Daphnia pulex: one gene and its partners. Each later gene encodes a partner of the first gene's protein in a complex. Links are inferred from orthologs where the notes say so. Each region holds a gene or a part of one and is shown in the gene's direction. Other genes may lie near its edges. The genes, in order: negative elongation factor D-like, negative elongation factor B-like and negative elongation factor A-like.

Region 1 (6,442 bases):
ATATTTGAAAGGACTGGACGCGCATGGAAAGGTGTCAAGGTAGAAGCAACTTAGACAAACTCACCTGTCTTTATCGAATGCTTTGAAGCAGGCCTCCATGTTTGCTAGAAGAGTGTCGTCGTTGGTGTCGTCGACGGCTGGATGTTGTTGATCCTGATCCAGCAATTGAGCCAACTGTCCTTCGTCTGAGGCGATCAGGTCACTGCTGCTGCTACTGCACGGTTCGGCCATTCGAGCGGAATAGAGGCAGCCAAGGCAAGGCTAAAACCTTTTTGCCACGACTTGAGTAAATAGCTTCGGGTTGCTTTGGTAACCGTGGCACACGGGACAGTGCGGTCTTGTACGTACTAGCACACAGACGGGTTGTAGATATATTATTATAGGCTGTGCGCGCCAGAACTTGTCCCATTTCTCTCCCGACTTCCTTGTTCTCCTTCCCGTGACAAGCCCGTGTACACACAAAAGTTGATCCCCTCATAAAATTATCGAGATTATACAGCCATAATTGAATCAAATGTTGCAATCGCGATAAAATAGCTCAAACTTCACGAATCAACTGGGAAATCGAGTTGGGCGGGGACGCTTAGCATATCCTCGGTAGATCTATTCATTTCTTTTGGGTTTTTAAAATGGACTTGGAAATATTAACGTAACTAACATTTCTATCCATCCATCCGGATGGTATACTTTATTGTGATTGAATTGCCCCAAGCACGATTCTCCCCTTTACATTCTATGCCCAGTTTGACAACACGAACGCTGTCACGACTCGCCAGATGGCAATCAACGGGATTCGAGAAAGAAGACTAATGCTAACGTATATACACACACACACACCCCACCTATTTGTTTTGTTAGACTTAGATTCCCACCCTTTCGACGGCCTGAATTATATATGAGCGCCTCACGGGGGTCATAGAAAAGGGTAACACAACAACAAAACAGTACTACTAACCCCGAACTTTGTCGTCACGTCCTGTACAACTGCTGACTGGCTCCCACAAAATCGATTGCATCATCATCGTAATTATCTTATGCTTTTGAAAATGTGTGACGACGATATGCAGAGACTTGATACGATGAGTTTCTTACGTGATATTTGGCTTAAAGTAATGAGTTTGCGGATAGATTTCGCGGCATAGTATAGTCTCGCTTTTTTATTTTTATTTTACCTGATGTCAGTTTTAACAGTTGCTCCTCTGTCGTTTCTCACAGCGTGGTGTTAAACAAGAAGAAAGATTTTCACGGCTGGCGGCGCGACTCTACAGCACTACACTATTACTTTTGTAACCGAGTTGTGTTTTTTTTTTAAAGAACTTGCACAGAACGGACGAATCAATACACGCCAAAGTTGAACAAAATATATGACGGAATTTTCAGTTTTCACCGGCAGCCTGAACTAATGACGACGAAAGTAGAACGCAACTTCCGGTGCATCCATTACTGTCACGATTTCACACATTTCTTTTATAATGACGAGCGCGGCAGTGTACGATTTAGCAAAATTTTTGCAAAAATAATTTTTTAATGGAATTATTGAAATTGTTTAATAGAAAAAAGGAGTATTTTATAAAAGAAATATGAAGCATAATTTTTCACATAAAATGGTTCAAACGGATTTTTTCATCTAGAAAATCGTGCCCCGCACTTGAAACGCTAAAAGTTAAAATTTTGATAGAAACTTAACCAGAAAATGGAATTAAACATGTTTTTATTCATTCAACTATAAGAGACCAGCACTTGGGAGAACTATAATGAGAGAGGGATTCTCCTCTGCCTCATTTCATCAACCCATTCAGATAACAATGTTTTGGTTGTTTTAGGTACAGTCTCCAAGTAGAAATGTTGAGGAGGTGTTCCTTCTTCTAAGCGGACAAAGTAATGAGTGTGGAAGTAATGTATTACTCCAACTCTTCCTTTGGCATGCCTGCGAACACCCTTGTAAACAAGTCCCTTGGTAGCAAAAGATTCAGCTACCCACAAATTACTTTTAAACTCAACATTGTGTTTCTCCACAGCAAGCTTCTGGGCCTCCAACAAGGCTTCTTTTACATGGACAGCTCCTAGCTTATTCACGAAGCTAAGTTGTTTGAGAGCTTCATCAATGGACATCCCTCTTATCATTGATGCAACATACCACATCTTAAATGGGCTATACTTGATGTTGGTCCTCATGTGGCAAACATACTGCAAGATTTAAATAGTTCAACTTATTGGTTTTTGCTGAAAAAAGGAAATGCTCAATAACTTACTGCTGGTCTTCTTTCCTCTCCAGGTAACTGTGGAGGAAACATTTTCTTATTATAGATTGGCCATTTTTGGGGCCCTTTTTGCTGCTGTGCCATTGAAACATTTGTTGTGTGGAGCAAAGCTTTGCCAAAAGTTTCATTGACTAAAGATAAAGAAGTGGCATGATTAATTGCTGGTTGAAAGCTTTTGCAAATGGAAAGCAAGTTTCTGTTTTGAAATTGTCTTAACAAAAACTCCATTTTCCTGCAATAAAAATATCAATAATTAGAACAGAAATGAAAATACATTAGGATTGTTATTATTTACCTAGTTTAATATGTTCTTTTGAAGTTTTTTGTTAGACTGGACTTGTGCAAATGGATGGGAGAAAAATAATAATTCTGATTGCAGACGAATCTTTAAGCAGACGCCGCCTGACGCGCTCGTGACGCTTGTTGTTATAATTTGAACCCGTCGTTTCACATCAGGTTTATTAGATATTTAACTCGTGTGGTTTGATCGAATGAAACAGTTACTGATTCCGTAAAATTTGACTTGGAAATGGATGACGGCTACGATAATCAAGAATGGGGAGAAAGTTCGGGAATGAGAGGGGATTCCGAGATGGGAGACGTAAGTTTTACATGTTTCAGTTGTTTTCTTTACATCAGTAATACTTTACTTTAAGTGGTTTGGTTAATGAATATTTGTATTTTCGTGTAGTCTGACAATGAGGACCAGTACATGGAAAATCCTGCAGAAGTTTTAGAAGAATGCCTTCAAACGTTCAAAACACAGGACTACATCATGGAACCCGGCATTTTCAATCAACTGAAAAGGTTACTATTGTCATTTCCACTATTGACGAAAGAAGCTAGATTGATGTTTTTTTCCTACAGGTACTTTACAGTTGGTGGAAGCCCAGCCCATGTCATTGAACTACTCTCCCAGAACTACTCTGCCTCAGCACAGATGGCTAATCTAATGGCAGAATGGCTCATCTTAGCTGGGGCAACTATAAATGATGTACAGTCAATGGTAGAAAATCACTTGAAAGAAATGATCATCAAAATGTTTGATCCAAAGAAAGCTGATACTATTTTCACTGAGGAGGGAGAAGTAAGATAACACATATTTCAAACTTAAGATTTTCCTTCAGTATTTTCATTCATCCAATTATTTATTCAGACACCAGCTTGGCTTACTGAAATGATTGAACATCCCACCTGGAGATCACTGGTTTATAAACTGGCTGAGGAATATCCTGATTGCCTTATGTTGAATTTCACCATTAAGGTATTGATATCCATTTTATAATATGTATAATTTTCGTAATTGACGAATTACTTTTGTAAATTCGTAGTTGATTTCGGATGCAGGATTTCAAGGTGAAATTACGAGTATATCAACTGCAGCTCAGCAAATCGAAGTGTTTTCAAGAATTTTGAAGACTTCGGTTGGCCAGTACTCAGAAAGTAATGATGACGACAGGCAAAAACACATACAAGAATGCGCTGTAAGTAGACATGATTATTCGAATGTTGCAATATCGAAGTTGTTATTAATGCTCTGTCAAATTTTGACAGCGGATGATTTGTCATGGGCAACATACTTTCGTGTACAGTGAAGTACTGTTAAATGTTTTGTCTCAAGAACCTAAAGGAGGCCCTTCAATCAAAAGACTATCACAAGAAATTACCCGTCACGCGATTCAATCGTTAGTATTTAAATTCCACTAGGCCATTTTTTTTAGATGGAACAATAATGTCATCAAATGCTTTATCATCGGACAGGGGTCACAATGTCACTGCCATTATTATGGGTCTTAATGGGTCAGCGGCGCATCCGCGTGCCAGTCAAGCTTTATCCTCAATGCTCTCTCGCAACGCTTTGAATCCAGCCGATATCACGAATTTGTATAAACTGTATTCGGCAACCGATCCCCCACCGGTGGAGTTGATCCGTTTACCTCAGTTTATGGGTATGATATTATTCTTGTTTCGTGCGATTGTAAAGGCTAGAAGATTTTGATTTTTTAATTCACGAATTTTTGTAGAGCTGCTCCTCGATTCACTGTTTAAGCCTGGAGTGAAGCTCAATCCTGAGCACAAATCAAAATACAACTATCTCCTTGCTTACGCTGCCAGCGTGGCTGAAGTGTACAAAAAGAATCAAAGGAAAAACACGAACCGAGATGAATTAAAGGCCACCATGCAGGTATACTGTTGTTAAAAATGCCAATCGGAAAAGCTAAATAATGTTTATTTATTAGGCACTCGAGAAGGCTCATCAAGTTTGCACGACAGCAAAAGGATCAACTGAATTAATAGCTGAGCTTGGAACTCTGTATCAGTACATCCGTTTCCCTGTGGTCTCTATGGGCGTATTTCGCTGGGTAGAAGCGACTGTGTTAGAGCCCTCCTACTTTAAGTTGAGCACCGAACACACCCCTGTTCATTTGGCGCTTCTCGATGAAGTGGCCGCCGTGAATCCTTTGCTCCACTCAAATATCCTCGACTTGCTGGTACGACTTTTCGAGTCGAGACAGGATGAGTTGGAGATTCTCGTTCAACTGGAAATGCGTAAAATGTTACTTGATCGTATGGTCAATTTGTTAACGCGTGGTTACGTCGTCCCTATTGTCAAGTACATCAAACAGTGCTGGCAAAGAGGTGACACGGATATTTCACTGATTCGGTACTTCGTCACAGAGGTAAATGCCAAACACCGTACCTTTGAAGTTCCTGTAATAATTTGAATATGATTCCCAAGGTACTTGAATCGATTGCCCCACCCTACACATCCGAGTTCGTCCAACTATTCCTTCCGATGGTTGAAAATGAAGAAATTACTGGTACAATGCGTGGCGATGGTGACGGTGACCTCGTCTCTGATTTCATAGGTATTTATAACATTTTCGACGGGATTTGAATCCTTACAAGTATTCTTAATGAGGCATTCCATTTTTCTAGTGTACTGTAAGGCCAACTACGTCGTGGTTTCCTAATAAAGCGTTACCAATTGTTGGATGTTGCGACTCATAAAAACAAACAGTTTCGCTCGACGCGGATATCACTTCCAATTTGTTTTATTTTCATCCTTTCTGTGCTCATAAAAATAAATCGACTGAAATTGCTGATAATCAAGTGGTACTGCCCGTAGTGTTGGCCTGTGCTGAGCGTGCAAAGTGAACAACCAGAGGTTTGCCTTGAAGCATCACCCAGTTGGTATCGTTGAGGGCTTCCTTTGCTCGATCTACATTTGGAAGGGTGATGAATGCCTGACCCTTCATCCTACCTTCGGTCATTAGGCGAATGTCGAACCTAGATTTAAAAGATTAACTACTTAGCTACTCGTGTCAAACATCTGTTTTATGTTTTGTTTTTATTCTTACATGTTTCGTTCTTCTTCTGACGTCCACAAGACATAACGGCCATAGATGTGCTTCAGGTCGGATTCTTTTACGGTTTTAGCCAAGTTCTTCACGTAAAGTCGTGAACTAGGAGCACCAGCCGAATAATTCTTGAAGACAGGAAGAAGTTTGATCTCTGTAAGGTGCAAAGCTTTTTTTAAAATGTTCATTGTTTATTAACATGATAAATTTCTAACCCTCATCTTGAAGTTTGTTTATCTGAAGTTTTCTTCTGGAGATAAATTCGTAATCTTCTTCCTGATTTTCTAGAGCTTCACTTTGCTGTTCATTTTGGCTCGGAGGAAGCGGAGCAAATGTTCCGAAACTTTCTGTTGTTCCTTGTTGCGCTTCGGTTGACTGATCACTTTTGGCATGAAGAACTTCTGAAGATATCTTAAACTCAAGTTTCTTTGCTGAACTTATTTCTTTCTGTTCAAATATTTCTGAAATAGTTTGAACAGTTGGCAATGCAGGTTTCACTTTAGCAGGAATCACTGCTGTTGATGGGTTGATAAGCATTTTCAGCTTGTTAGGCCTTTTCAATGGTTTAAGCTTCTTATGTCTGACAGCTACATCAGGAATGACTTCTTTTTCTCCAGGTATAGAAGAATCAGTTTCCAATTCTGATTCTTCTGTATCTTCTTTGTACAACTCTTCCATTTCAACTTCTTCAATATCAGATGGTTCAACTATAACAACAGGATCTTTTGGCACTTGCAGGAAAGGTGGAGGTAAGTTAATACTCTTCATGAGTTGTAAAACTTTGTGATAAAAATCATCATTTCGTAGAAGTTCTGCTGC
Region 2 (6,509 bases), on another chromosome or scaffold:
AAACTACAACGCCTGTTATGACATATCACGATGCTATAGTATACATATTAATAGCACATAGCAGCACACACATATTCAAAGTTTGCTAGAACCTGGATTATTATTAAATGCCACTTTTGCGAATTCTACTTTATTAACCTTACCCAACGCATTACGGGGTAGTTCGGAATATATTCGCCATTCACTTGGCACTATGTAAGGAGCCATTCTTTCTTTGCACCATTGTTTAAGAGCTATTAAGTCTATGGTCATCTCAGGGTTCGCCAGGACAAGGACAGCTGCTACCTACGAAGCACACAATCAACATCACAGGTAAAGTGGGTGGCAAATAAATGAAATTGCTGGTGAATCAACGTGTGATACCTTTTGTCCCCAAGTAACATCAGGAATTCCGAATACCGTGCAATCTGCAATTTCGGGATGACCAAGAAGATGTGTTTCGATTTCGAGAGCAGAAATTTTAAATCCGCCGGATTTAATAATGTCGGCTGATAATCGGCCAAGGATCTTGAAATAACCATTATCAAATTGAACTGAATCTCCTACAAAAACAACCGAGATGTTATTCACACGAATTGGCCCTTCAACATAAAAGCAGACAAGCAGTAACAAACCTGTTCGAAACCATCCATCCGCAGTAAAATCTTTAGCTGTGGCTTCTGGTTTGTTCCAATAACATTTAAAAACGTTTGGTCCTTTGATAAGAAGATCTCCTATGACTTTCTAACAAATAGGATTTCATGGATATTAATAATAGAAGCTTTTTTATTCAATCCAAGGCTTTTGAAAAAAACTGATTGTGTTCTTACATCATTTGCGTAGCCTTTTGAAAACTGGTCGTAGCTGGTCTCGAACAAGATTTGATAATTAGCTTTCGATCCAAGAGGAGAAGACTGAAATTCTGCTAATCTGATGCTGACACCAGGCGACGGAACTCCAACATAACCTTAATAAAGTCAAAGGGAAGTACTAACAAGGATTTATGATTGTATGGATAAATTCTAGTTTTAGTTTTAATTGGGAATGTTTATTGTTTAGGTAATAAGTGTATGAAGTGGGGTTAAGCTGAACCAAGGACCTTACCAGGGCGTCGTTCTCCCTCCAGAGGAATAGACAAAACAGAACCAATTTCCGTCATCCCATAACGTTCCACAATTTCAATTCCAGTTGCTGCTTTCCATTTGTAAAACACCGGCTCAGGAAGAGCTGCAGACCCGCTAATCATAACCCTATGAGAAGAAATTAAAACAAATTATTTGTTGTCTCCCCATTCAAATCTAACAAGAAATACCTAAAGTTGTTAGAAATACTAGCTTTCACATATTCCCTTTTCCGTTGAGTTTCCCCATAAGTGGAATCGTAATGTGAGAGTAGTTTGCTGTACATTGTAGGCACACCCATGAACAGAGTAGGCTTTTCCTCTTGACTCACGTTAGTATTTAAGAAATTTTCCCAAATTGCTTTCGAGTCGAATTTGGGCAACATAATACAACTGAAATTAAGCCGCTGAATTTAGTGTCGATAACAGTAAGTAATTTCATTTAAATTCGAATACCTGGCTCCTACATATAGGGGACACAGCAAAGCGTTTATAACACCATGAGTGTGATGAAGTGGAAGCGCATGAACGATGACGTCTTTTTTGGACCATTGCCATACTTCAATCAACATTCGTACCTGAGCATCGATGTTTTTATGACTCAGTAGAACTCCCTTGGGTTTGCCGGTGGTTCCACTAGTATACAGCATCATAGCATCAGAATTCTGATAAAATTCCATTGGCTTTGTGTCACAGAGAATGGATTTTAGTTGGGTGGGTGTAACATTTTGGTTGATGGTTTGTTGCCATGATTCTTCTAGAATTACAGATTTGGTATCCTGACCAACTGTTTCGTGGACAGCATTAAGCAATTGGGAATGACTTTGAGAAGCAATTATTAAGGCAGCATCACAGTCTTTGACATAGTAACCCAACAAAGATGGAGGATGAACCGGACTGAGTGGTACAGCTGCAATAGAAATAATCATTATTAGAGAACTTTATGTTTTGATATATGTTTTGATACCAATGTGCCCTGCCGCCCAACAGGCCCACTGAGATATAACATAGGTAGAGTCATTCGGACAGAGGAAGCCAATTCTTTCTTGATTTTTTTCTGGACCTATAGAACTTTTAATCATATTTGACAATTTAATGGCTTTAAGCAACACATCCAAATAGGTATGAGATCCATGGCTGTCTTTAATAGCAACTCGATTGAGATGTTGAAGAGCAATTCGATGTGCAGGAATGATACCACGATTTTCCATCGTGGATTGAATTCTGCCTGGAGGATCTGTATTACTGATAGAGTATGGTCTACTTCGAAGGGTTGAATTAAGTACACCGGATCTCAATGACTTTAGAAAAACAGAGAGCATCGTCATGTTATTCATCAGTCAAGTAATAAATCGTGAGATATCTTATCATCTATAAAGGTGTAATTCTGCACGTCGAGATAAAATTCGAATCTGATAAGAATATTAATAATCCTATGAAGTAACCTTGGAACTTGGAAGTCTGGATAGAGACAACTGATGTGTTTGTTTACAAAAAAAAAATACTTTATGTCGTCTGCTGTAGCTCCCGGCCTCTTTTCGCAAGTCAAAAAGACCAACAGGCTTGCACAATCGTTTGCAATCTTTTCTATAATCGTTTTAAATGTTATGTATATAAAGGGGAAAAAATCAAAACAATTACAATTGGGGTCCAACCACCCAATATTTTGTAATTAAATTATTTTCTAATTAGATGCTCCTCTATAATACTCGTGAAACGGCAACGTTGTCTAGACTGTCAACAAAAACTTGTTGTTGGAAATTTGTGTCCGGGAGTTACACTGAAAAGTGAAAACTGCGCGAAGAAACTGATTCTTCGGGATATTATAATTTGAAATACATTACGTGTGAAACGTTATTTTTTTGAATTATGAGTCGAAATCCCTCTTCCTCGGCAGTTCCAAATGCAGCTGGTCAGCCGGCTGGTGTAACACCATCAACCAGCACTCCATCTGCATCTGGTCTTGAAGTCCTTGGAATACCCGGAGGAACATTTCTCAGAGAAGCTTTGACTTCGTGTAGTGATCCTCTTCAAGCCATCGAAGAATTTCAAGTTGAAAATGGAATACTTCTACCTTCTTTAAGACCAATGATGCCACTTTTGGATTTACATGGAGTAAAGCGGCTTGATTTCCACATATCTGTCATGGAGGTTGTTTACATGAAAAGATTTAAAACACACTTAGTTTTCAATTATTTTTATGCTTTTAGGCACTTCGTGATAAGCTTTTGGCCCAAATTGCTGATTTAGGTAATGCATCTTTAATTATTTTAAAATCAGTTTTATTTTACATTAACTATCTTCAGGCCAAAAAGAAGGAAAAGAGAAAGACAAGAAATTGAAAGAATTGTTGAACAAAAGCTTTCTTGTAGTTAAAACTAAAGCTCTAAGGCCAGTTGTTATGGCAGTTATGAAACACCTTTCTCATGTTGATGAAAAATACCTCAAAGTTTTGGTAATGTAATACATTTATTATTTGAATTCAGAATTTAATGAAATGATTGATCTCAGGTGAAAGACAAAGAACTTTATGATGATTGTGATACTGTGGTTAAGAGGCAAATGTGGAAAGGTATCCTCTTAGATAACATTTCAAATACAAGTATTATAACTTTTCATTCAAATTTTAGACAACCAATCCCTTTTTGGTGATGAGGTTTCACCTTTACTCAGTCAATATATCAAGGAAAAAGAACAACTTCTCTTTGATCAAAATAATCTGACAAATTTGTTTTTCCTACCATCTCCTAAGGTAAAATGAAATGGTATTAAATGGTCTTTGTGGCGCTGCGACAAAATATATACCTTTTTTATTGGTCAAGGAGAAAAATAAAAATCTTTCTTTCGATTCCCAGGTTCGCCGCCAAGGAGAAGTGGTCCAGAAGCTAGCGCATATGATCGGAAATAACGTTCGGCTGTACGATATGGTTTTGCAGTTCTTACGAACATTATTTTTACGTACTCGTAACGTTCATTATTGTACATTGCGTGCTGAACTGCTTATGGCTCTACATGAGACGGAAGTGCAAGAAATTACAAACGTTGATCCATGTCACAAGTTCACCTGGTGCGTGGATGCTTGCATAAGGGAACGTAATGTCGACACCAAACGTTCTCGAGAGATTCAAGCGTTTCTCGACGGTATAAAAAGTGGCCAGGAACAAGTTCTTGGAGATCTGTCTATGATGCTGTGCGATCCCTATGCCGTCCATTTCTTAGCTACGTCATCGTTGAAGATTTTGCACAACCTTGTTGCATCAGAAAGTTTGCCTCGAGAACACCATATTTTACTTTTATTGTTACGGATGCTTGCGCTTGGTTTAAGCGCATGGCAGATGATCGATTCTCAGGTAGGACGAAGATTCAAAACAACCATTATTCCTTTATTAATTTCAGTAATCTTGTGCAGGAATTTCGGGAACCACGGCTTGATTCTCAAGTTGTCACGAAATTTCTTCCGGCTCTCATGTCGCTAATGGTGGATGATCAAGTCCGATCTCTAAACTCGAAATTACCCAGTGATGAACGTGAATCAGCTTTGACCATTATCGAACATTCAGGTACATGTAACCATTACTGTGAAGTTTCAAGGCACGTTTACTTAATGCTTCTAATAATAGGACCTCCACCCGATGCATTCCAAGCATACATATCTGAAAGTAGTGTACCTTGTGTTCTAGCAATGTATTACACTCTCCAGGTATTATTTATACTATATGTGAATAATGGCATTTATTACTGTCATTCCTCGGATTTAGGTGGCAAGAAGTAGAGACAAAGTGGCTTTAACTCGTGTTTTGGGCACGCTTGCTGTTGGTCACGGCGAACGATCATTCGAAGATCCTTTCCTTCACACTTTGGTAATATCCTATTTTACCTATTAGATCATTAAAGTAAATAACTTTATAATTGGAAAATAGGTTGCCCATCTGATTCCAATGCAGGATGAATTTGTCAATGAAATGTTTTGCACAGTTGTTTTTGATGAATTTTTTTTCACATCAATTGGCAAGGAGAATGTTGTCAGACATTTAACAAAACTTGTGTGGTATGTTCATCATAAGCTACCTGCTGCTAGACTTGATACCTTAATGAAAGCACTTCAACCAAATCCTCAATCCCCTGAAATCATGCATCAGGTAAAAATATTATTATATTGGCATAGAAAAAAAAGAAAATGTCCATAAATGTGCTTTGCCTTTAGGTCTATAAGCAACTGGAGCAAAGAATTGAATCATACCAGCTGAACCCATCATCTATGACTCAAGGAGTCCACAATGATGACTCTGTGTTGATGATGAATGTACCTACTCCAATGTCAATGTAGAATAAAACAGTGTATTGGTCAGGCTTACAAACAAGATTTAATGATGATTTATTGATAATAGAGCTCCAAATTCATCCCATCATGAATCTCATCTACAAGAAGAGAATAAAACTTAGTCAATATGGAGTAGCCATAAAAAAACATCAAATTCAAAAACTACTTACAGTCCTCCAGTTTGATGTGATCCTTGTAAATAGTGTACCATTTTTTTAGAACAATCTTCTCCCATCTGGTACCTGTTTGCGCAGCAATCAATTTTTTCAAATCTCCAATTGTGTCGTCAGGGTTACATTTGACTCGAACTTTCTTGCCAAGACGATCGTTGCAGGTGATCTCGATCATTTTGTATAGGTAAGACTTGTCACTTTGTCAGGCCTTATAAGTGAACAAAAGGCAGAAACTTTAGTCTGATGTCAACTAAACAAATGTAAGTCGTCTACTCTCAAGTGGACAGCAGCGCTGTACAAAACTTTTCAAATTTCAATGAAATATGAACTTGTTGGACGAACGAATTTTGACGTGAATTTTGTGCGACGAAAAGAAGCAGAAGACGACGCTATGACCAACACAGTTGCCTTCCGAATTTGTATTTAATATTTTAGAAATGAAAATAATCGTAAAATAATTTGTAAGAATGGGAATAAAAATAAAAATAAAATTCTAAATAAAAATCTATTATGGTTAGGTTAGTTTTAGTTTTCTACGTATTTTATCATTTTGTGTGTACATACACCGAGTTTACATTACATTTGACAGCTTGTCCCGACGTCGTCTTCTGCCTTCTGCTCGATGTGTTTACGATTAGTGTTATCATATAAATTTATACGTTTGTTTTTTAAAGGGGATTGGCAATCCTTTTTTTAATTTTCTAATTAAATTTTAAGCAACTAAAGATGTTTTCCGCCTTAAAAAAGTTAGCTGCAGGAAACAATAAGAATGAAGCAAATGGAAAAACTCCAGCTGGAGGACAGCAAGCAATGCATGCATCTTTACAAAAGAAATTTGCCAAAGGAGTGCATTATAATAGTAAGATAGTGAATTTTTGTTTCCGTAATGACCTTGTCCTTAATTCAGACTATTTAC
Region 3 (6,521 bases), on another chromosome or scaffold:
GATTTAGGTTGGCCGTGCACACCCACCGACATAATCTTATATCCGTGACGTCAAATCGGCCTCAGTGCCATATTGCCTTTGGATGGATGCGTTGAAAAGTGGTAGACGCATCGCTATTATAGATGCTATACGTAACATCCTCATTGAGACTTGGGCTATCATCGGATACAATGTGTGTACATACTTTATACATCTGAGACGGATGTAATAAGGATGAACAAGCTTTTTCATCGCCCAAACCCCCGGAAATATTTTGCCTCTACACTTTCAAGGCTCTAGCTCGACGCACAGCTCTATAAAACCAATTTCATTACATTTCGCCTGCTGAGAATGATGATGCTGTTGCTGTGTGTTACAACAGGAAGCGATAGATGTACGGCGAGCGTCAAATAACCAATCATTCGTTGCGATTGTTGGAAACGCGCTGCCAATTTCCCTAACAGATCAAATCGCTGCTGGCGGATTAATAACCCCCTTGCGGACTTAAGAATTTCAGATTTAGGAGCACTACTTCTCGCGACTAGGACAAGACGACGTCACAGGAGGAAGCTCATTTTACTATATTTAAACGATGGCCCTTTTATTTTTTTGAGGCCAGATTTTTGTGCTTTTCAAATGTCAAAATGTTGTCTCCCCCAAAACGGTTATTACATAATAGATTCTCGACTGCTGAGCCAGCAGAGTCGTTCCATTTTGGGTCTTTTTTTAAATTTAATCTGATGCTGGGCTCCTTTTGTTCAGCACTTAATTAACCACACGGACATCAGAGCGACTGAATTTCCTATTAAGAGATTCTATCGTAGCCGGAACTGTCCTAACCCAACCAGACGATATAAGGAAGAACGTCGGAAATAGATGACTTTGTTTTTCAACGTTTTTTTTGTTTTTTAATAAGCTTTTTATTTATAGAAAACTGATGTGACGTTGAAGGGGAGATGGGTGTGTAACATACATTTAAGATGAGAGCACATATTGGAGTTGAGTATTGAAATAAGTCACGGAAGGTGGTTTGGATTTGGGTGCATTACACGCTCGCACTTCATTGCGCTAATAATACTGCTGGGCCCTAATTGGACCAACGATCCTTATTAGGGGTTAATCGTGCGAATTGACCGACACAACTTCGGGCTTTCGGAGCACCGAGACCCAACTAGTAGTGAGACACCGGGAGATTTTATGGGTTACGAACTTAATGATAGGTACTACATAGTACTTAATTGAATCAAGGCGCCTGAAATCAGTTGGCGAGTTTGGAAGTGAGACATTGTATTGATTAACTGTATACACTTCATCCGTGTTGCGTTTGCGTTACATGTTGTTTGATACTTGCACTGAGTCTTAAACGGAATCAGCGTCAAGTTTGAAATTTAAAAGAAAACAAAATATTTCTATTCTAAAATGCAGGTTAGTTCTAAAGAGAAACTCGATCGCGCGCAACGAAAGATCAGATTATAACAATGGAATTTTTAATTTGTTTTCCGACTAATTCGTTATACAATTACGGTCGACATGGTAGAGCGTTGAGTACTTTTAGGACCATTCGATCACTCGACACACAATAGTTTCGACAAGAAACTATATTTACAGCTTTAGAAATGGCACATCATTTACTTAGGTCGATTAAGCGACCTCCTGACGAGTGATTCACGTCCGTTATTTGGTTGTTCGATAACGAATCATTGTAGTCTAGTCAGCCGAGTTGAACAGCAGCAACGTTTCCCAACAACGCGGTTTTGGTAAAATAAAAAAAAAGAAAAAGTCCATTCATCGCAACGCAAACAAACGCTTGTACTCAACGACAGATAATTCCGCTTGGGGAAAACCATTTTGTATTTTCTTTTTTCTTTTCTACGACCGCCATTCACAAGTCACAGCACAGCATCCCATCGAGAAACGTGACTAATAACAATATATGGCATCGTTGTGATATTTTCATCTTTGATTTTCCCGCGACCGTTTCCATCGGTCGTTCAAAATACGTTTTTTTTTTTTTAAGTTTGGCCTAACAAGCAATCGTATCAGTGGCAACTAGCCCAAATTTGCGCAACGAAAAAGATAGAGGCAGGCATGCAGCGCCCCTAGCGGCCGTTAGTGGTAAAGTAAGTTTCGGTCTCATCCGAAACTACGCCACAGTGACGCTGTCTGCATCGACATTTTCTGGCTCACAGTGAAAAAGTTGTAAACAAGTAGTGGGAAATTGGTTTGTGGGCACTGTTCCGTTCGCTGTAAGAAACCTTGTGTTTGAGAAAAGCAAAGGAAGAAAAAAGAAAAACAGGGCGGAAAATGGCGTCCAACGTGAGAGACTCAGATACGTCACTTTGGCTTCATAATAAACTTGGTATCAGCACTGATTCCTGGGCAGGCGGCTCAATTTGTTCCCAACTCAATCCCGAAGTTTTGAAGAACATTCAAGAATGCTTTGTCGAGCTGCAAACACAAGTCAAACTCAAATTTCTACTATCATTCTTCCAGTTCTCAAGGAGGAACTTAGAAGAGGTCAGTGGCCTTCATATAGTTTGATTTCGTCTTTTTCTCCATCTTGTTTGTCATTTCACTTCGTAGATTCTGAAAAGTAATCGTTTTTTATTACTTGTATAGTGGAAGACAGAGTTGGAAGAAATTTTGGAAGTGGCTGTTGTTGATGGTGATCCGTGGGTAGCCATGGTTGCTGAAATCCTCAAAACATACCCAGCCACCGGAGCCCTCAACATGGAAATTGGCTCTGCCACCGATGAATACACAAGAAAAATCTTCAACGATCTTGCAAATGATTTGAGAAAACTTGGTAACTTGGCAAAAATCTAAATTCATTTCATCGTGGCTTTTTCGTAATGGTTTTGAACATAACTTACAGTGAAAAAGCATGGAGAAACTGGAATGCTTCCTTTAGAATGCCCCTATTTGAATAAAACAGCACTGTTCACTGTTGTCGGCCAGCAGGTAACGCTCATCTCGTTTCGCGCCAAAATGGAACCTGTTACATTATATGCGATTGACTCTGCTCTTTCAGTCCCACCCCATCAAACATTTCACATTAAAGAGGAAACCCAAGTCAGCGGCGCTGCGTGCCGAGCTTTTGCAGAAATCCACCGACGCCCAAAATAACTTGAAAAAGAATCCTGCTCCTACGGTACCACTGCGCTCACGAGGAATTCCAAGGAAGATGACGGACACGACACCATTGAAAGGCATTCCTAGCCGGCACATTGGAGGATTCGCTTCGCCACTTTCGCGCGTTGGGACGACGCCCACAAGTGTCGGTGCTCTAGGATCTTCTCCGTCCGCTGGTCCCAACCGTCCGTCTCCTCGCACGTTAGCTGGCAGAAAAGATGGCGGTATCAAATTGCTGGACATCAATGAGCAGCCGATCGGATTTGCTCAGGCGAAGAAAAGAAAACGACAACAAGGTAATACGTATCCAGCTATATTTATCGAATTGCTTGTTAACGCTGTTGCCTCTTTTCCCCCCGTAAAGAACTGGAAGCTGCCCAAAAAGCAGCCACCGAAACGACGGCTACCTCTACAAATCCGGCACAACCGCTTTCGGGCGAAGAATCAGAGACGGGCAGTGTCCCCGAAACTCCCGAAAAACCTACTCCAACGCCCGACTATGCAGCTGGCCTTCTTCCGAGCAACCCGCCTCCAACCCCGGCCGCCCCTGTCACTCCACTTGCCTCCACTTCTATCCCACCTCTTACGCCGTTGAAAGAGCCGCCTAGAATGGTAGCCGTCCGTCCGCCTACTACTCCTTCAATCAGTTCTCTACCTCCAGCTTCTCCTGCCCCACCTGCCCAAGTGGTACGCCTTGTCACAGCTCAAACGGCGGCTGCGACACCTGCTGTTGCTACTACGGTGCCCACCGTTTATCGGTTGGTTCAACCAGCTGCTGCTGCTGGGCAGCCTGTCGCAGTGGCGGCAGCAACTCCCAATCAACCGGCCGCTCCACCCAAAAAGAGTGTGGCACTCATGCTCACTGTAAGTTTTAATTGTCGTTGCAGTCATGGTGAATGATTCTTTGGTAATTCAACATTTGTTTTCTATAGCGCGAGCAAATGCAAGAAGCTCAAGAAATGTTCAAGAACGCCAACAAAGTCACACGACCGGAGAAAGCCCTTATCCTCGGATTCATGGCAGGCTCTCGGGGTAACTTTCATTGGAATGATGCTGTTTGAAAACAAAAGAAATGTTCATTCTTTACTTACTGATATTTCTAGAAAATCCTTGTCCACATCTGGGAAACATCGTCACCATCAAGTTGAGCGAGGATGAGGAGGTTGTGACGGCTACCGACGGTGTCACCACCACCAGGGTCGTCGAGACGCATTTCCAGATGAACTATGCAGCCGGCGAATGGAAACGCATCAAGAAAATGAGGAAAACGGAAGAAACTCCGGCGTCGGTCGCCACCGTCATGGCCACAGCGACGGGCTGAATAGGAAACGAATCTGGTTGCAGTAGAGAGAGAGAGAGAGGGACTTGAAAATTCTGTGTAAATAGCAGCAGGATGGATGTTACAAGACAGAGGCGAGGAGAAATGAGTGCGGATGAGAAAGTAAGCCCTTCCCTCTATCCCCTACCCACCGCGTTGTTCCGACTGTGGGGCACGGGATTTATTTTGTTTTGATATATTTCGGTGCCAAAGTCGATTCAACTTGTCCCTTCTTTCCAGTTCTGTTTTGCACATTACTATTCCTTTCCCTGTTTTTCTTCATTCCTATCGATTCGACTTGACTTTCAGTCCTTATCCTCTCCGTGTCGCCCGCATCTCACAAACCAAGCTGAAGCCTTAGAGGCGGCATACTGTTCAGTATCTCAGCATTTGAAAATTGTTCATTTTTTTTCTTTCTTTCAAAGTACAGTTTTCTTGTAGTTCTCATACACACAGATCCATGCATAACATGTTCATATCATTCAAAGCGAATAAAAAAAGCGATACTCTTTGTTAAGAAAAAAAAGAAGTATGTGTATTGAAATCGTTAACAGTCCCGGTCGCTATTGGTTTACGCGACTTCCAGTTTTTGTTTTAAAATAATTTTGCGTTTGTTTAAACAAAAAAAGAAAAGGAGAATTTAGTGTATATATTTGACAGTCACTGTCGAGTATTGGGTATCGGGAGCGTGTTCAAAAGGCTTGGTCCCATCGCTAGCGATGTGTTGATTCACTTGGCACTCGAACAATACAGTATAGTCCAGTAGGTCGTCGCAAATTTGCTAAATCGAAAAGGGAAAATGAGTTGGTATTTTGGGACGAAACTTTGCCTCAAATGGATAAGTCGAGTTACTCTTGTTAGTTCGTTGGTGTTGGTTGTGAAAACACCGACAAAGCCTTTCTGTATCGCCAGCTCCAGGGTCTCTTGCTCCGTTTTCTGGATGAGTTGGATGTTCTCCAATGGACTGGAGGTTTCGGCCGTGGCCATCATAAAGCTGTGGATCAATAAGTTGGTCCGCTTTTCAAAGTGCTTGTCTCTGACAGGAGCCTCAATCGCCTCGAGAAATTCAAAGACGTACGCCAAGCGCCGGACTTTCGGTTCAACGACAGGCTCGTCAAAGAGATCGAAATTCAGGGCCACGGCCACTACTTGTCCGCTCCCGTTCCGGATAACAAAGCTGTGCGCACCCATAGAACAATCAATCAATTGGTGATGGTGTCTTTTTAAAATGGAACTTCAACCTCAAGTCTGCTGCCACTAATGGCTCCCAGAGTTCCTCCATGAAAACTTCGTAATCCTGACGACTGACGCCTGTCAAAAGTTCCAATTCGGCTTTCTCCGAGAAACTTGTACTGATAATCCTGATTAATATCGTCAAGCATTACGACATGTCGTTATTTATAAACGAAATAAAAAATAACTAAATAAAATAAAATACCTGATGACGTCTTCCTTGACTGACGGGCTCAGCATTTCGACAGTGTGATTGGATAACTGATGATCCGATGTCTTTGATCCGCAGGCCGCCTTCGATGGCAACAGTTGAGAAACCAAATCTTCCAGTCTGGAGGCGGCAAGGAATTCGGTCAAATCTGTCATGAGGTAATAGTATATGAAACGTGTGACGAAAAAGAAATCAAGCCTGTTGGTATAACGTAACGAGGTAACTAAGAGTTGTTACCTATGTGAAAGCCTTGATCCTTCAGCTTGGTTACCACATTGACAGCGTTGAGTGAATTGCCCCCGATTTCGAAAAAATTGTCCGAAAGTTGAATGGCTTTGCCCGATGACGAGCCAACGATTGAATAGACAGTTTTCAATAGGGCTCTCTCTTCGCGGCTGAACTCGTTTCCGTCCCACATAGTTAAACAACTTGTCAAATCTTTTTTTCAAAAAATACGTCAGAGAGTTTATTAGATACAGCAGTTACTAAATAGTCGATAATAAGGATGTTCAAATCTCGAGTGAACCATTTGACCTACCGTTTTGTTGTTGACGCTGATCGACGTAGAATTGCATCAGTTTCTGGCGGTCGACTTTGCCGTTGACTAACAAAGGAAGCTCGTCAATCAGTACCAGCTAAACAATCAAA

The links.
Region 2: the proteins of negative elongation factor D-like (region 1) and negative elongation factor B-like are in contact, whole or in part, in a crystal structure (PDB 8JJ6), measured with the Homo sapiens proteins. The link is inferred for Daphnia pulex from reciprocal best matches to the Homo sapiens genes NELFCD and NELFB. Residues at the interface, in XP_047296144.1 of Homo sapiens: Arg63, Ile66, Met67, Glu68, Pro69, Ile71, Phe72, Leu75, Ile89, Gln90, Leu92, Ser93, Tyr96, Thr97, Ala98, Val99, Ala100, Gln101, Thr102, Val103, Asn104, Leu105, Leu106, Trp109, Leu110, Gln112, Thr113, Gly114, Val115, Gln121; in NP_056271.3 of Homo sapiens: Met49, Leu53, Leu56, Val58, Ala59, Asn60, Gly61, Leu64, Lys65, Leu68, Thr69, Leu75, Ile78, Glu79, Phe81, Gln82, Glu84, Asn85, Gly86, Val87, Leu88, Leu89, Ser91, Leu92, Ser94, Ala95, Leu96, Pro97, Phe98, Leu99.
Region 3: the proteins of negative elongation factor D-like (region 1) and negative elongation factor A-like are in contact, whole or in part, in a crystal structure (PDB 5L3X), measured with the Homo sapiens proteins. The link is inferred for Daphnia pulex from reciprocal best matches to the Homo sapiens genes NELFCD and NELFA. Residues at the interface, in XP_047296144.1 of Homo sapiens: Cys204, Gln205, Gln206, Leu207, Glu208, Phe210, Ser211, Leu214, Arg215, Leu218, Ala219, Ile221, Leu222, Asp223, Gly225, Glu226, Cys241, His242, Gly243, Glu244, His245, Thr246, Tyr247, Leu248, Phe249, Ala252, Met253, Ser255, Val256, Leu257; in NP_005654.4 of Homo sapiens: Leu23, Trp24, Ala25, Leu54, Leu58, Leu61, His62, Arg65, Pro88, Trp89, Met92, Val93, Ile96, Leu97, Phe100, Gly104, Ser105, Leu106, Leu108, Leu110, Asn116, Val117, Asp119, Ile120, Leu121, Glu123, Leu124, Arg125, Lys127, Val128.

The regions. Positions count from the first base shown.
Region 1 is NC_060027.1:2,128,034-2,134,475, forward strand, and holds negative elongation factor D-like, read left to right. Parts: upstream 1-2,721; 5' UTR 2,722-2,790; coding exon 2,791-2,862; intron 2,863-2,952; coding exon 2,953-3,068; intron 3,069-3,128; coding exon 3,129-3,348; intron 3,349-3,417; coding exon 3,418-3,525; intron 3,526-3,592; coding exon 3,593-3,745; intron 3,746-3,815; coding exon 3,816-3,946; intron 3,947-4,022; coding exon 4,023-4,210; intron 4,211-4,285; coding exon 4,286-4,446; intron 4,447-4,501; coding exon 4,502-4,942; intron 4,943-5,001; coding exon 5,002-5,131; intron 5,132-5,201; coding exon 5,202-5,236; 3' UTR 5,237-5,371; downstream 5,372-6,442. Other genes in the region: uncharacterized protein LOC124207899, read right to left, coding at 65-231; 39S ribosomal protein L22, mitochondrial-like, read right to left, coding at 1,750-2,187, 2,253-2,489; RNA-binding region-containing protein 3-like, read right to left, coding at 5,372-5,552, 5,624-5,777, 5,839-6,442. UniProt on the Homo sapiens protein: Essential component of the NELF complex, a complex that negatively regulates the elongation of transcription by RNA polymerase II.
Region 2 is NC_060017.1:4,643,168-4,649,676, forward strand, and holds negative elongation factor B-like, read left to right. Parts: upstream 1-2,815; 5' UTR 2,816-2,968; coding exon 2,969-3,250; intron 3,251-3,309; coding exon 3,310-3,349; intron 3,350-3,405; coding exon 3,406-3,554; intron 3,555-3,610; coding exon 3,611-3,671; intron 3,672-3,729; coding exon 3,730-3,851; intron 3,852-3,954; coding exon 3,955-4,449; intron 4,450-4,508; coding exon 4,509-4,659; intron 4,660-4,719; coding exon 4,720-4,799; intron 4,800-4,857; coding exon 4,858-4,959; intron 4,960-5,019; coding exon 5,020-5,238; intron 5,239-5,303; coding exon 5,304-5,426; 3' UTR 5,427-5,457; downstream 5,458-6,509. Other genes in the region: malonate--CoA ligase ACSF3, mitochondrial-like, read right to left, coding at 76-285, 364-542, 615-723, 810-946, 1,084-1,229, 1,292-1,492, 1,556-2,009, 2,067-2,436; rab-like protein 6, read left to right, coding at 6,320-6,452. UniProt on the Homo sapiens protein: Essential component of the NELF complex, a complex that negatively regulates the elongation of transcription by RNA polymerase II.
Region 3 is NC_060020.1:1,898,984-1,905,504, reverse strand, and holds negative elongation factor A-like, read left to right. Parts: upstream 1-2,126; 5' UTR 2,127-2,283; coding exon 2,284-2,496; intron 2,497-2,598; coding exon 2,599-2,785; intron 2,786-2,854; coding exon 2,855-2,940; intron 2,941-3,010; coding exon 3,011-3,407; intron 3,408-3,475; coding exon 3,476-3,975; intron 3,976-4,043; coding exon 4,044-4,143; intron 4,144-4,214; coding exon 4,215-4,432; 3' UTR 4,433-4,897; downstream 4,898-6,521. Other genes in the region: tyrocidine synthase 3-like, read right to left, coding at 5,070-5,210, 5,282-5,606, 5,671-5,790, 5,868-6,021, 6,111-6,311, 6,412-6,508. UniProt on the Homo sapiens protein: Essential component of the NELF complex, a complex that negatively regulates the elongation of transcription by RNA polymerase II.